Linked DNA regions of Nothobranchius furzeri. The protein of the gene in region 1 binds, or shares a complex with, the protein of each later gene. Links are inferred from orthologs where the notes say so. Each region holds a gene or a part of one and is shown on either strand. Other genes may lie near its edges.

Region 1 (7,540 bases):
AATCCACCTGAGACAAGAAGGGCAGGTGCAGCAGTGGGTCAGACGTTAATCCGCCAGCTCGTCAGAAACAGTTATCCACAAACAAGATGCATAAAAATAAAGAAAAGACAGCGTGTGTTGTTTAAAAAGCACAAGAAGCGCACCGTATTCCTGTGGGATGTGACCGTTCACCAGGCCGAGCTCCCATGCCTTCTTAATGATGGGGAATGGATACTGTAAAAAAGCATTTTAAAGTTTCTCATTAGAGATAACCGTCATGGCTGAAACACACAGCAGCAGGACTGGATCTAGCACCACCTAAAAGGCACGATTACATTCTATAAAGGGTTTGAATCCCTGACATATCTATTGTTCCTTTTTAGGGATTTTGCTTAGAAAAATTTACTCTACTATTGATTTGCAATGTTGATGTTTTACCTCCATAAAAAACACAAGCCTGAAGGAGTTTTGCTGTGTGGTGGAGTTGCTAATGCTAACAGTTAGCGTCTACTAGTCGAGATGTTCTCTGCTGTTTCCTGGATGCTAAACAAACAACAGCCTTCACCATTGTGAGTCAAGATGGGTGAGTCCATGAATGTTAAGTGACAGCGTGACATAGATCTGTCAGGATTTTCTATCCTAGAGTTTCACCGTCTGCTTTCTATCAGATGCTAATGCAGGAGATAGGTGTAGGAGACTATTTTCATGTTCAGTTTGCATGAAAAACTCAGAGACTCATTATCAGAAATAATCAATAAAATGTTTTTTTTTTCAGGGAATCACACCTTTAATTTAATTAGCCTAAAAGCCTTTTTTGAGTTTCTGTAAAAAGACAAAAAGGTTTAACTGTTGAAAGCTGGTCAGGGTTAGCACTGAAGGATGGAGACACCTTCATGCTAAAGTCCTACTAGTGCAGTTGTTATGAAAATTACTTATTACTTAAATGTAATTTCTACTTGTTTATACATTTTCTGATTTCATCAGTAAGAATATTATTTAGACAAGGATAAATCATTATGATGACACGTTTCACCTTTATGTTAATATTGTTTTATTTGATGCACTCCACTTTGATCAGCACCAGTCCATCAACTGCTGCATTTTAATAACTAGTATTAAAGGTGAGTACACCAATATTTGCACAAAAATAATTTTTGTTTTAAACTCTCAGTGACACACTTTGCAGGGGGGATTTGGTATTTAATTTTTCTTGGCGTCTGGAAAAACATCTTCTGCCCCCCTTTATTTGACTTTCTGCCCCCTTTATTTTGGTCCAAGATCATTACTGGGCTGGCCCTATTGAAAACATTCTTCACCCCTGCTTGGTAGACTTAATGAATTATTTTTAAGCCAGTATAAAAATGACTGAAACACAAATTTGGCATTATTGACCAATATCTTTGATTTCAAGATGTATTACAGTGAACATTATAGTAAAGTAAATTTTTCTAGTGCAGAGAGGATACAACCCATAGAAGCACTGATTTGATCTCATTTCAGAGAAAAATAGAACAGGTTAGATGCACCTAATAAATAAAATTACTAACAAACTCAAAGATCTGTTTCTTTGCTTCATTGTTGTCAATATATCGTGATATATTTTCTAGCAATATTATATCAATATTCAAAAGCCGCATATCTAATTTTGGGAAGAATTTACATTAAAACATTTGTGTATTTTCTTTTTTTTGTGTGCAATTCAAACATCAACCGCTAGTTGGCAGCAGTGTGCAGTTGGTTTTGTTTCCACCATTGAAATGTAACGCCGGGGACACACCGGCCGCGGAAGCGCCGAGAAGCGAATCGCTCACGAAATTCGGCCGCTGATCGCCGCTCCTCAGTTCAGATCAGGCGCGCCCCAGTCGAGGCGCGCCTCGGCTCAGCTGTAGTTTTTCTTTTAAACACTTGGTGTCCTCCATTTCCTCTCTGCCTTTTCTCAGCTCTTTTCCTCTACGTTTGAGTGTGTGTGTGTGTGTGTGTGTGTGTGTGTGTGTGTGTGTGTGTGTGTGTGTGTGTGTGTGTGTGTGTGTGTGTGTGTGAACCTATGGTATGAGTTGTTTCTGCCAGTTGAATCTCTTGGAACCCGCTCCAATTCTGGATCACGTATCACGCTGTATCCTAGCAGTTTCTTCCGAAATGGGACGTAAATAATCATGCCAGAATTGACGCGATTCACCCGCGGCTCGCGAAAAAAATAGAGCCAACGCCGAAATGATCGCTGCACGGCGCGGCCTTGAGCGCCGGCGCGAGGCAATTCGCGGCGCTTCGGCGGCCCATGTGGTCTATAGAATAGCTTAACAAGGGCGCCGAATGAAGGCGGTCCCATTTTCGCGGCGCTTCCGCGGCCAGTGTGTCCCCGGCGTAAATCCCTGTAACATGGTTCAGATACCTCATGTTAAACACCAGTTTGGACTGTTAATTGAATTCTATATTAAATTCAGTCTAAAAAAAGCGCTACAATTGTCTGAATGTATTGTAATATATTGTGATATATTGCATCGTCTCCCTTTTATCATGATACGTATCGTATCACCCTAATTTCACCAATACACATCCCTAGTGTCGAGTCAGTGTTATTTTTTCTGCTCCATCACAATTTAACAGCTAAATGACCTAAGCAGCATGTCCACAAGTTCTTCAGAAACCCCTTAAACACCCCATAAGTCTAGGTAATCTAAAACATGCAGGGCAGTTGCTCTCAGGATGGAACGACAGGTTTAAACTAATACACAACTCAAAGGCCTAAAAGGTGACGAACCTTTTGCATGACTCTTGCTACTCTGATGTTAAAAGTAGTGTGATATTTATTGGACATGAACATTTTAGCCCCATGTTTGCTGCTCTTACTTCCCCACTCCTGTCATAAGCAGCTGCAACAGGGATCATCTCTTCTCGAGCAAACCTCCTCGCCAGCTGCTGGAACTCCTTCTGCTGATCCGTCAGTTCTACAGAATAGGAGAAAATTATTTCTCCACAGTGAAAAGACTTTTAGGGACAGAATTTCTTCCCACAGGACTGTGATTTAAAAAACACACTGTACCCCACTAACCAAAAGAAAAGCCAGGTGCTCCTGCATGGCCAGCTGCTGCAGCTTTGGCTGCAGTCACGCCAGAGCTCTGCAGACGAATCCCAGACTGAAGACTGGCTCTGAAGACCTGTGCAAGATCAAAACTGAAGTTGTTTTCACACTTTAAAGTTGAAAATTTTCAAAAAACAAACAAAAGAAACTACTAGCTGGTGTATTTGATCAGATAATATAAGCACAAAACTAAATAAAAAAACAATCACATCTAAAGACATCAACTCATGGAAAATGGACCAGGACAGCAAAGTGTGACTGCAAATTTTACTTGGCCAGAGAATATTAAAAACACACAGTGGAAGAATTGTAGTTGTAAGTGGTAGTATTTGAGTGGTAGTATTATTAATGGTGATTAAGTCCCCCAAAATCCCAGGGGAGGTCATCATCAATAGGAGTTCCCATATGAACTCAAAAAGTCCTGTTACTAAATTATATTAACCACCTATTAACATAAAACATCTGTAAACAAACAAGCTTCTTGCTTCCAACATTAAATCTGTTTAAAGTCTGATATTAAGACAAATGACATTCAAAGAGATAACAGATTGAAATCTGAATTAGAAATATAAAAAAAAACAGCTGAATCATTAAACATAGTTTAGTGGAGTTACACACTATAACGTCTATATTATGTTTTACTATAATGACTTGGCTGTAATGAGCAGGTGTTACATTGAATGAAGCGTTTAGACGTGAACCTTTGGGCAAAGCAATGAGCTGGTTAAGCTCAAGGAGCTTCAATAGCTTAGTTTCAAATAATAAAAAGGCAGAACAAAGATCAGAGAACGGGTGCTCTACTGTTCAGGGTCCTTTCAAGAGAAGACCACCTGACTAGAAAAAGCTAATGTGGTTTTTCATGTCATGCTCATCAAATTGGAACTCGTCAGATTTGCAGCTTTTCATTCAAACACGCAAACATTACTAGCTGTTGCTTGTGAAGACGCAGATTTTCTGTTTACGTTCATGATTAAAAAACGATCCACTGAATAAATGATTAAAAACAAACCAACTTCAGAGACGTTAAGACTGGCAAAAAATAGACACAAGTCCATAACATGTGTGTAATTTTATATAAACGCACAAGTGTCCTAAAGGACGAGGGAAAAGCCAAATACTTAGAAGTTATGACCTTGGTAAAAGTTATGTATTCAGATTTTTGGAGCATTTTGCTAACTAGCTAGCTTGTGACGTAACCCCTGAAGTTCACCGGATTTGAATGGAAAAATAAGAATTTCTGTTCTGAACGGCAGTTACAAGCAAGTACAATAACAAGATCATGCTAAATTATCCTTAAAGTCGGAGTCATGTACCTTATTGAGAAGCATTGTCACCTCACAGATGAAGCTTGTAGCATAAACTGATGGCTACGTCTGCTCTACAGCAATGTGATCATCACAACCAATCAGAGCAGCGGAAATGGTCACGTGTTATTTCTCCGCACCCGCACTGTGACTTTTGTCCCAGTTATCTAACGAGACTCACCTCTGCTGTTTATTCTCCTGAGTGAACATGACGGAGTCAACAGTTGAACAGCAAAGGGAACTTCCGGTTACACCACAGATCAAGACTTGAAACTTTAGATCAGGGGTGTCAAACTCAGTTTTGCTCAGGAGCCAAAATGAGGAAAATCTAGTCCCAAGTGGGCCAAACCAGTAAAATTAAAGTATATATAAATTAAAAACTGCTTTAGATTGTTTTCTTTGTTTTAATACGATCAACATTAAATAAAGCTGGAGCCTGAGGACATTGTATTTAAAATAGTTTAAGCACAACATCAATATTAATAAAACACATGAAGCGTATTTGAAAATGTGAAATACAAAACAAAAAACCCAGACTATTCCTCAGTAATTCAAATAACTGATTCACAGATCATATGGCTATATCAGTTTCATGCATGTCTGACTCCTGATACCTGATATCTTTTAGCTTTCACCAGCAGTTTAATTGAAAAATGAAAGCTTATTTTCAGACTACATCGTAGTCAGAAAATAGATTTACACAATCATCTCGCGGGCCGGATTTAAATCGCAAAAATGACACCCCTGCAAACCCCTAACCCAAACTCATCAATTTAAGTCTATAAAACAGTATAAAATACGTGAACTACCTAAAAACGTTATTGGTGAACATTAGGAAATGATATACACCAAGACCCAAATCATTACAAACCATAAAACAAATTTAATGGCTGAAAATAAAATTACAAGAAAAACCAAACTTTGATTAAGTCTAATTATTCCAACGTGTCAAAGGCCCTTACAAACTAATTTGTGTTTACAGTTTAGCCACCTTGTCAACCATGGAAATGTCAACACTGCAGGGCAGCAAGACAACTGTGCTGCAGAGCAGCTCATCTACAAGCAGATGGCGATTTCAATTTTAACAAATCTTTCTCCCCATGGGGTATAACCAATGTTTTTAACTGTGGTCATCTTTAAAATGTTCAATCATAAACGTGTAAGGATTTATTTTTTGAGAAATAAATTGGGATAAATTGCTCATCATTTTTAATCTTAAACCCTGAAATACAGAATTTACACTACATCTACAACAGCAGCAACATGCCTATTTTCAATAACTGGACTCTGGGAGCAGTCGTGTGGGACATTTATAAATTTTATTGGCATATCAAACAGCTGGACATTTATTTGCCTTTCTTTGCTTTTATTTTCCTCAAGTAGAACTCGAGCTCCTTGCCCTCCAGGATGTAGCCGTCTGCCCTGCCACACTGGCCAGGTTTGGAAGCAATGCAACCTGTAAAACATCAAGAACAATCAGGTGAGCTCATTAACCAGTTACTACATCTGGTAACTTAAACACAAACTTCAAAATGTTCTGCTCTTTCAAGTTTCAGTGGATCCACTACTTCCTGAAGTGATTTTGTTTAATTTGTTTGTATTTTACTTTTGGTGGATTTTATAAAGCACAATGAAATAAAGCATGCAAACTAATGGGCTCGACACACGGGAGGCGACATCGCCTCTCCTCCATTCATTTTCAATGAGACATGCACGACAAAGCAATAATCGCGGGTCTCCCTCCTACCAAGCGAAACGCGAAAAACGTGCGTGTGAAATTTTGCGCTCGTGCACAAGCGACGCAATCCCAGAAAGTTTAAACATTTTCAACTTTTCGTCGCTGTCGCTCGGACGAGGACCAATAAACGGAGGTTTCATTCACTGACCAATGAGCGGACAGGATGCTCCGTACATCTCCGAGCAAACATGAAGGAGAAGTTGATTATTATTGTTTTATATATTAAAATCAGAAGTAAGTTTTCACATAACAGCACCTTGTGAAACATATCTATCGCTTTATTAACTCTGATCCGCTTAAATAACCTTAATTCCCTCCAACCTGACACAGCCAAACAAAACAACGGAAGTTTCGATTTCATCATGGAACAGAATGCGCAGACGGATTTGCCGCTGGCCGCCTCCCGTACGTCAGGTAATAAAAGCGACAAATTTTGCTGATCGCGGTCGTTTGTCGCCTCCCGTGTGTCGAGCCCATAATTCTAATGTTAAACTGACCAAGCAGTTTTCCCTGCAGGAACTGTTCTTCCAGGAGAGTGCTGATTTTGGAAGTCTTTTTTCGCTCGTCGTACTTCTTCTGAGTCTTTTTGGATCGCTTCTTATTGAGGATCTCCTCTTCTTCTGGAGTCTGCAGAAATAGACACCAACTTATTAGAGGATGCGATAAAATAAACCCTTCAATCCAAAACTATTTTAAACATGCCTTATTACCAATATTAACATTCACATATTTAAATGGCTCAACAGTCTTTCTCAGAGTCTTATGTATCACCACTTCCATTCAGTAGCAGAACTGAACATTCATCATCATAGAAAGACAGCAGGCCCTCATGTTTCTCATCTTCTCACATGACATCACTAAGTAACCAGGTAAATCTACAGCCACTCACTTGAAGGGCACATATAAATTAGCCTAATCTTGTGCAAAAAGAAATCTATTATGCACTCATAAAACTACACTTGACTAAACCAACTGATTTAAAACATACCAGCTTAGCTCCCTTCTTGCGTCCCAAAGGAGTGGCGTAGTGGGCCTCATACCACTGCCTGAAGGGAAGGCTGTCCACGAGAACGATGCAGTTCTTTACCAGGGTTTTGGTTCTGACCAGCTCGTTGTTGGAAGCATTGTAGACCACATCAATGATCCTGGTCTTGCGCGTGCAACCTGAACACAAAGAATGAGGAGTTACCACCAACTCAAATATATCCAGAAGTCACCAACAAATTATATGTACATGAAGGTCTTTCTCAGAGTCTTTGATATCACCACTAGCACTCAGTAGCAGAACTGGACAAAGTTATCATCAGTGAAAGGTGCAGCAGTGAAGGGTTTCAAAATGTGGAGACTTACCTTCAGAGCCCCATGAGAAGTTTCCAGCATCCAACCTAAGAGCACGGTACTTCTTGTTCCCACCACGGACCCTCACTGTGTGGATGCGAC
Region 2 (7,364 bases), on another chromosome or scaffold:
TACATGTCAGAGCATTAATGAGGTTATTATGCAGCGACTTGCATGATCAGGGTAATAAGGACCAACCAAGATCCAGATTGGACACAACTGGTTTATAAATAAACAAGTGACAAAAAAATGTTTTTCCTTCTTTAGAAAAAACACATTTAGCAGTCCTCTGTAAAGTGCAAAATAAATGAGATGCCTCTGCTCCCGACTCCTGGAGAGAACCGGCAGTCGCTGCCCGTGCCGGTGCAGGGTATCACCTGTCCATTTGGGAAAAGGTAGAAAGCCCATTCATTTTAATCAGTTATCTGAGGAGTGATCACATGTAAGGGGATCTCACCCAGCAGGTCACAACTCTGCTGCCACCAGCTTATTACTAATCACTCCTACAGAGTTTGTCAGGACACCTGGGCTGCTCAGGCACCACCGATGGGCTGAATAAAATATGACCGACAGGACACACATGAAAATATAACCTACTAGCCTTTCACAGGCAGTGCTGGACTCCGCTGTTAGTCATGCCAGTACACCTGGCTCAATATCCCCAAGTACCAACTTGACACAAGAATGCAACTGAGCGTATAAGAGGCCTGGCAGCTAGAGGCACAGAGCAAAACTGAGGCCAACTTTTATCTCACTCTGGATCAGTTTTTTATATCCCCAGAGATGCTAATGTGTTCCTGTCTTAGCAGCAAGCTGCGGCCAGAACCCTCCTTAGATTAATTCAACAGCTTAATAATTCAGAAGCTGCACATTTCCATGAGGTGGAATAAGGCATCGTGCAAAATTTATAAGAGAAGAAACAAATGTTATATATTCTTACGGTCATTCACAGCTAAAAGCCTGGAAAACATGCAGAGAGAGTCCAGCAACTCCTTCCTCAGAGTCTCATATGAGATTTTACTGCCACTGCAACAATAATCCAAGACACTTACTTTGAAAAGATCAGCTACCAGGCCGTAGTCAGCAACCTGGAAAATAGGAGCCTCTGGGTCCTTGTTGATGGCAACTATAGTCTAAAGCAAGAAAAGAGATCAGATGTGTTTGTAAACCTAAATATTACAATTAATAAAGTCTGTTTACATGTAAAAATTCACCAAAAGCTGATTGTTTCATTTCAGGTGGTGTGTTTTATTACTAATTTTAAACTGAGCATGTTAGCAATAACTTTGCTCATTTTTAAACTAAATGAAAAGGTGTAACTTTAAATTTCAAAAGAAAAAATAAGACAATGAAAAAACACCATCTACGTTTCTCTAGTGACTTTACCTTGCTGTCTTTCATTCCAGCCAAGTGTTGGATGGCTCCGGAGATACCAACCGCTATATAAAGTTCCTACGAGCAAAACAAAAAGAAAACAAGAGACACTAAAGGTTATTCTAGATCCACAAGGTTGATCCAACCCAAAACTAATATTAAAAATAATAATAATAATTAAAAAATAAAACACTAATATTCAGTGTAACTTTAATGCACAGCCTGATGTTTCAGAGAGGTAAACTTGAAATGTGTGAACAGAAATGTATTATAACAATGGGAAAAAAAACTAAAAGAAAACAGACAGTCTGGTATGGTTGGGCAGACATCTGCTGTATTCTGCTCTAATGGATCAGCTAAATCATTTAGGGCCCTAAAAGTGCCATCATGTACTTTCCCCAAGATCTAATGTGTGGATAATCACAAGTGGAGTATCCTGGATAAATCACATGATGGCAAGTTAACCTTTTATTTTTTTTTTTTTTAAAGGAGCAGTCTCCAGAATCACACTGAAATGCGGTTTAAGGGCTAACGGGCTAACTGTAGTTAGCCCAAATTAAAACATTAACTTAACTTGGTTTTAATATTTATTTATATCATTTGTCATTTATCGTGATTTGTTGCATAAAAATGGGTTTATCCACATACTGGAGCCACAATTTTGCCCGTCTGCCCGACCTGCATGTCATTAGGGACAAAGCCAGCATCCACTGCAGCTCTGGATGCACCAACTGGAATAAAAAGGAGTGTTAGAATAAAAAAAAAACAGGTAAAAAGTACCCATAAGGATAATAAATGATAAAAAAAATGACCACACAGTACCAGCAGCGTTCAGTTTGTCAGCAAGGTCATAAAGCAGCTTAAAGTTTTCTCCACTCTTCAAGCCTCTTCCTAAAATAAAAGAAGCAATTTCCATTTTGGATGGCTAATCTTTGTTTATTCAACAATAAGATATTGTAAAACTTTAGGAATACAGTCAAATAAATGATGTCATTTGACAATTTCTCAAAGTTCAGCACAGGTTTTTACATCTCGGTAGGGAGTTCATACCTCCTGACACCACAACCTTTGCACTCGTCAGCTCTGGCCGGTCACTCTTGGTCAAATTTTGTTCGAGCCACTCAGAAACCCCAGCAGGGGGAGCAGCAGCCACTGCAAGTCAGACAACAGGAAGATTAACATATTTAAAACATGATTTTGATTTTCACCTCTGATTTCAGAGCTGGACAGGTGTGTATTACCTTCCTCTGACGTAGCGCTTCCTCCCTCTGTTGGAGCTGCCTCAAAAGATGTCCCTCTGACGGTGAAGACCTTGACTGGCTCACTGCATTTCACGGTGCTGAGGGCATTTCCTGCAGCAAAACAGGGCTAAAACTTACGGTTTTACTAAAGACTGCACTCAAATTATATTTATATTTAAAAACAAATACATGAACCAGGATATATGCTGAAAAGGTCCTGCACCTACTGTGCACAAAACATGCCATACCTGCATAAATGGTCCTGACAAAAGTATCTGGAGATTTAATTTCAATAATATCTGAAACTGGGGCAACATCCAGCTTGGCAGCAACTCTAGGAAGCAGGTTCTATCAGACAAAAAATACATATTGGGCTGTTGATCATAAATGTCTGTAAGAACAGATGTCAAAGGAAGTAAAGATGGTAAGATTTGTGTTTGCTCATTTTAATAGATCAGAATATGTTAAATGAAACTCGGGGAACTGTGACTTACCTTTCCGAAGGCTGATGCACCGGCACAGATGTGAGTGAAGCTGAACTGTTTTTGTGTTTCCAAGATGAGTGGAGTCAACTCCTCTAAAAGAAAAAAAAAGGTAAAAAACAAATTCAGGTTAATGACTGACCTTTGTCAGCAGGGGTGCTAGTTATAAACATCATTATTAACCTGTAAACGTGTCAAGTAAAGCAAATGTGAAAATAAAAAAAGAGGGGGAAGTTACTGTGAAATAAATACCTTACCTGGCAAAGCACCTTTGTAAGACTCGTGCTGGGCCACCAGGATCTTCTTCACACCCTGTACTTTGCTGATCTGCTCCACAACCTGAAAGGAGAAAAACAAAATAATGTATCTGCGTAAAATCATACAACTTTCAGCCAAAACAAAGTGTGGATTATTGAAATTGACAAAAGATGTTCCTACCTTTGCACAGTTTGTTCCAGCAACCAGACAAGACACATCTCCCCCGAGCTTACTGGCAGCAGTGATGGTATTGAGTGTAATGGGGGTCAACTTATCATTGTTGTGTTCTGCAACAACCAAGGTGCTCTGAAACCTCTGGACAAAGCCTGTCTGTTGGGAAAAACACATTTCAGTCAGAACCAGCTAAATATTAGTGTGTTGTACCCAATTAATGAATGAACAAATATTAGCTTTAATTTAGTCACTCGTTTATTTATTCACTCATCATCATTTAGACCTCACAATCTAGTGTAGGGAAAATGCAAATACAGCATTACGATAGTGTGCAAAGAACCTCCGGATCAGCTTAGAGTCAAAGCCAAACAGGAAAATACCAGCCTGGTCTAGTGATGGTCTTCAGGTAAAGTCATTCAGATAAAGCCAGGAGAACAGAATAGAACATAAAATAATACATGCGTTAGATTTAAGTCTCTTATATGAAGCCAGTTACATCAAACGCCTATAAAATTATGTAATTACGTTTAAGAACAATTTTATAGAAACGTATAACAAACTGAACCTTTTATTCAATATACTAACACCAGAAAAACACACTAATAACCTCGTGTTTTGATGGAATACTGTCATAACTGTAAGATCATTGCATTACATAGGTGACACCTGTATGTAGCAGTTTCGCAACACAAGGTTTTATAACGGCTAACAGTGCTAACAACTGTCTGCCACACAGAGATAAAAACGTCTGCATTTACTTTTATATCGAAAACAGAAATGTGTTCATTGTTAAATTACAAGAACGCAGTGTTTATTTAAATTTGCCCTAATTATAATAAACGAGAACGACCTATCTCTGAATGAAAAAGGCTAACAGTTAGCAGCTGCTACAAAAAACATGCCACAAGTCTGTCGCCAAAAGCTACAGCTAACTGAGAACCAGCTTGTTTGGGCCCAGTCGTGTACGTACCAAGTTCTTCAAGGATGTTCTGGTCAAAACTCTGTTCATATTTGTCTCTTTATTCTTGCTGCAGCAGCAGAAAGATTTTTGCAGGACGCTTTCTCCCGATCTGTGCCAAAGGTCTTCTGACGTATTTAACGAAATCTCGCGATAGTTACAAACCAAGTCCAGCTCTGCTCATTGATCTGACAGAAAAGCAAAAATGTTTCCAACTGGGAAATTTGCAGAATTGTAGAGCAACACACAGTCTTTTTCCACCTGTTTTTGTTGCATTTTATTTAACAATTTGCTCGTTTGTTTACATGTATGTGTTATCGCGTGGGTTTTTGTGTAAATCTAATTTTTATCATGTCTTGTGATTGTTAATGTGTTTTTATTTGGCCACATTCTGTTAATTATTTGAGCTATTTTGAATTTAGTATTCATTCTCACTATAAATCCTTACGGGTGTAATTTTTCTTTATGGATTTATTTTTCCTTTTGATCATCTTAATTATTTTTATAAATAAATAATGTTGACAAAGAACCAGGAACTCTAAATAGGTTCAAATATGTTTCAGTTTAGCAGAAAACTAGCTGATAAATTATCGACGAGTTTTGTCTGTCAAGTTCATTTCTGACACCTTTTGATATAATAATACAAATTACATGAAGAGGTCATATAAGCAAAATATGTAAATATTTTGAGAATAACGTGTTAACCCTTTGATGCATAATGGTCACTACAGTGGACAGGTACTCAAAATTGTTAGTTCTTTATTTTTGCTATTAAGCACAGCTGTTGAAGACTTTATTGCATGTGAGCCCCTCCATTTGGACTTCAGTAAGTCAAGCCAACATATTTCATGTTCAGAATGCACACTGTCCACTGAGATGGACATGTAATAAATTATTAGTAAATTAACAAAATATTACAAAAATATTTGTTGAAATTTGTTTCATTCACACCTAAAGATGAATGAAAAAAATTGTTTAAAAAATCATGGTTGAAGATCTCATAATTCATGCATCAGAGGGTTAATTAATTAAAATAAGAGATGAATGAAGCACAACTGAAATACTTTTAAATTGTGTTTGAATAAACATATTTTATTCCCTTATTGTTTGTTTATTTAATTTCAACAACAGCAATGGGTTCATTACCCACATGAATGTTATTTTATTGGTAATCAGTTAAATAATAATGATGATTTTTATTATTATTATTATTATTATTATTATTATTATTATTATTATTATTATTATCATAATTATTATTATTTTTATTATTATAAGTGGTAACTTTTATTAAATCGTTTGCGTTTATGTAAAAAAAATACAAACTTTTGAAGTTTAATTTGACAATTTACCTCATGGACTTTCATACACGTGACAATTATAGGAACAGATGGTCTGAAAGAAAATTCAAGACAAATAAAAAAGGAAAATAATATGGGCTTTGAGTTACAGAATTTGTTCCTTTTGTTGGTAAACAACAACAAAGAGCGTTTAATTGTTGATAACGCCCAATTCCAGTGCAATTTCCCCAACTGTGCATCCTACTGATATTCAAATTCTGCGTGCGAAAATTCCCCCAGTAGAGGGCTCCCCACAGCGGTACGACTAAATACTTGTTATACCCACATAAACCAAACCACATTAATGTTTCAAATTAAATATTAAAATTAAAGAACGAAAAATGTGTTAAGTTTTGTTTGCCTACATAGGCTATAAATAAAAATATAGCGTGCAAATGTTGTATTGCCTAATTTTATTTAATGCCACCTGAGATTAAAACCCACCAAATAAAGTATTTTTGTAAATAAAATATGGAGATTCTGATGAGGAGTAAAATGTTGAAGTGCAAGTTATTATTCAGCAAGTTTAGTAAGAAAAAAATGCACCGTCCCGCTTGGACACGCAGCCATGTTTGCACTCAAAACTCAAAAAGAACAACAACAACAAAAAAGAGCAATAAAAAGAGCAGCAAGGGGGGCCATGAGGAGACTTACATGGTACCCTCTCCCCGGACCCACACACGTCCGGGTTTTTGCAGACGTCACTGGTCGATGGTCTTTGTTTTCTCTCCACCTCCCGCAGGAGGAATACAAGTTTATCATCCGGCCAGGGACGGGACGGTCTCCTCTGGCGCTCCTCTCTTCCATCCGTCAGATTAGCCCTCGACCTTTCTCCTGCATGGTGGACATCCTGATCAACACTTCTTTTTTGGATGATATGGGGGATTATTCAAAAAGTAAGACGCGTTTCTGTCTTTTCTCGGTAGTTGTTGTCGGATTTTTATTTGTCGCTGCCGACTTTTTGTCCCAAAAAAAGCAACAAATTGTAAACAATCAATATTTTAAAAAGGGTAAAAGGTACATAGAAATACTTGTTAAAACATTAAACAGTGATATAGCTTTTTCATTCATCACAACAATAGTAATAATAGTAATATTCTGCTTTGTTGTGCTAAACAGTCCTCTCGTCAGTATGGAGGTGGTTTTAAAAGGATCTAATCAGGATTAAAAGAGCGCATGCATGTCTTACATTAATGCTTTGGTTCTTCTCCGCAGAGAAGTCGGGAATTGCAATGTGTGTGGGCTGTGGAAGTCAGATACACGACCAGTACATCCTGAGAGTCTCTCCGGACTTGGAGTGGCATGCAGCCTGTCTCAAGTGCGCAGAGTGCAACCAGTACCTGGACGAGACGTGCACTTGCTTCGTCCGAGACGGGAAAACATACTGTAAAAGAGATTATGCACGGTGTGTATGAAGGACTGGTTGACTTTTTTGTGGATTAATTAAAAAATCGTCTTAATTTTTGAACGCAGGGAAGTGCAAGTATTGTTGTAAATGCAAATTAAGTGTTGTAAATGCGCGCTCCTTCCTTCTCCAGATTATTTGGCATCAAGTGCGCAAAGTGTGACATGGGCTTTTGCAGCAGTGACCTGGTGATGAGGGCCCGGGACAATGTGTATCACATGGAGTGTTTTCGGTGCTCTGTGTGCAGCCGACACCTCTTGCCGG

The links. The genes of interacting proteins can lie anywhere in the genome.
Region 2: the proteins of acadm (region 1) and etfa are in contact, whole or in part, in a crystal structure (PDB 2A1T), measured with the Homo sapiens proteins. The link is inferred for Nothobranchius furzeri from reciprocal best matches to the Homo sapiens genes ACADM and ETFA. Residues at the interface, in NP_000007.1 of Homo sapiens: Pro163, Lys173, Pro211, Gln232, Arg235, Glu237, Val251, Glu253; in NP_000117.1 of Homo sapiens: Arg223, Lys226, Arg249, Asp253, Ala283, Ile284, Gln285, Glu304.

What each region holds. Positions count from the first base shown.
Region 1 is NC_091751.1:41,389,138-41,396,677, reverse strand, and holds the start of acadm (medium-chain specific acyl-CoA dehydrogenase, mitochondrial), read right to left. Parts: upstream 4,520-7,540; 5' UTR 4,387-4,519; coding exon 4,372-4,386; intron 3,135-4,371; coding exon 3,029-3,134; intron 2,925-3,028; coding exon 2,827-2,924; intron 214-2,826; coding exon 144-213; intron 8-143; coding exon 1-7. Other genes in the region: rps8a (small ribosomal subunit protein eS8), read right to left, coding at 5,709-5,818, 6,598-6,727, 7,089-7,264, 7,451-7,540. UniProt on the Homo sapiens protein: Medium-chain specific acyl-CoA dehydrogenase is one of the acyl-CoA dehydrogenases that catalyze the first step of mitochondrial fatty acid beta-oxidation, an aerobic process breaking down fatty acids into acetyl-CoA and allowing the production of energy from fats.
Region 2 is NC_091744.1:68,359,321-68,366,684, forward strand, and holds the start of etfa (electron transfer flavoprotein subunit alpha, mitochondrial), read right to left. Parts: upstream 4,513-7,364; 5' UTR 4,407-4,512; coding exon 4,368-4,406; intron 3,554-4,367; coding exon 3,404-3,553; intron 3,305-3,403; coding exon 3,223-3,304; intron 3,061-3,222; coding exon 2,978-3,060; intron 2,832-2,977; coding exon 2,732-2,831; intron 2,595-2,731; coding exon 2,484-2,594; intron 2,395-2,483; coding exon 2,293-2,394; intron 2,134-2,292; coding exon 2,065-2,133; intron 1,974-2,064; coding exon 1,891-1,973; intron 1,321-1,890; coding exon 1,255-1,320; intron 1,002-1,254; coding exon 921-1,001; intron 1-920. UniProt on the Homo sapiens protein: Heterodimeric electron transfer flavoprotein that accepts electrons from several mitochondrial dehydrogenases, including acyl-CoA dehydrogenases, glutaryl-CoA and sarcosine dehydrogenase.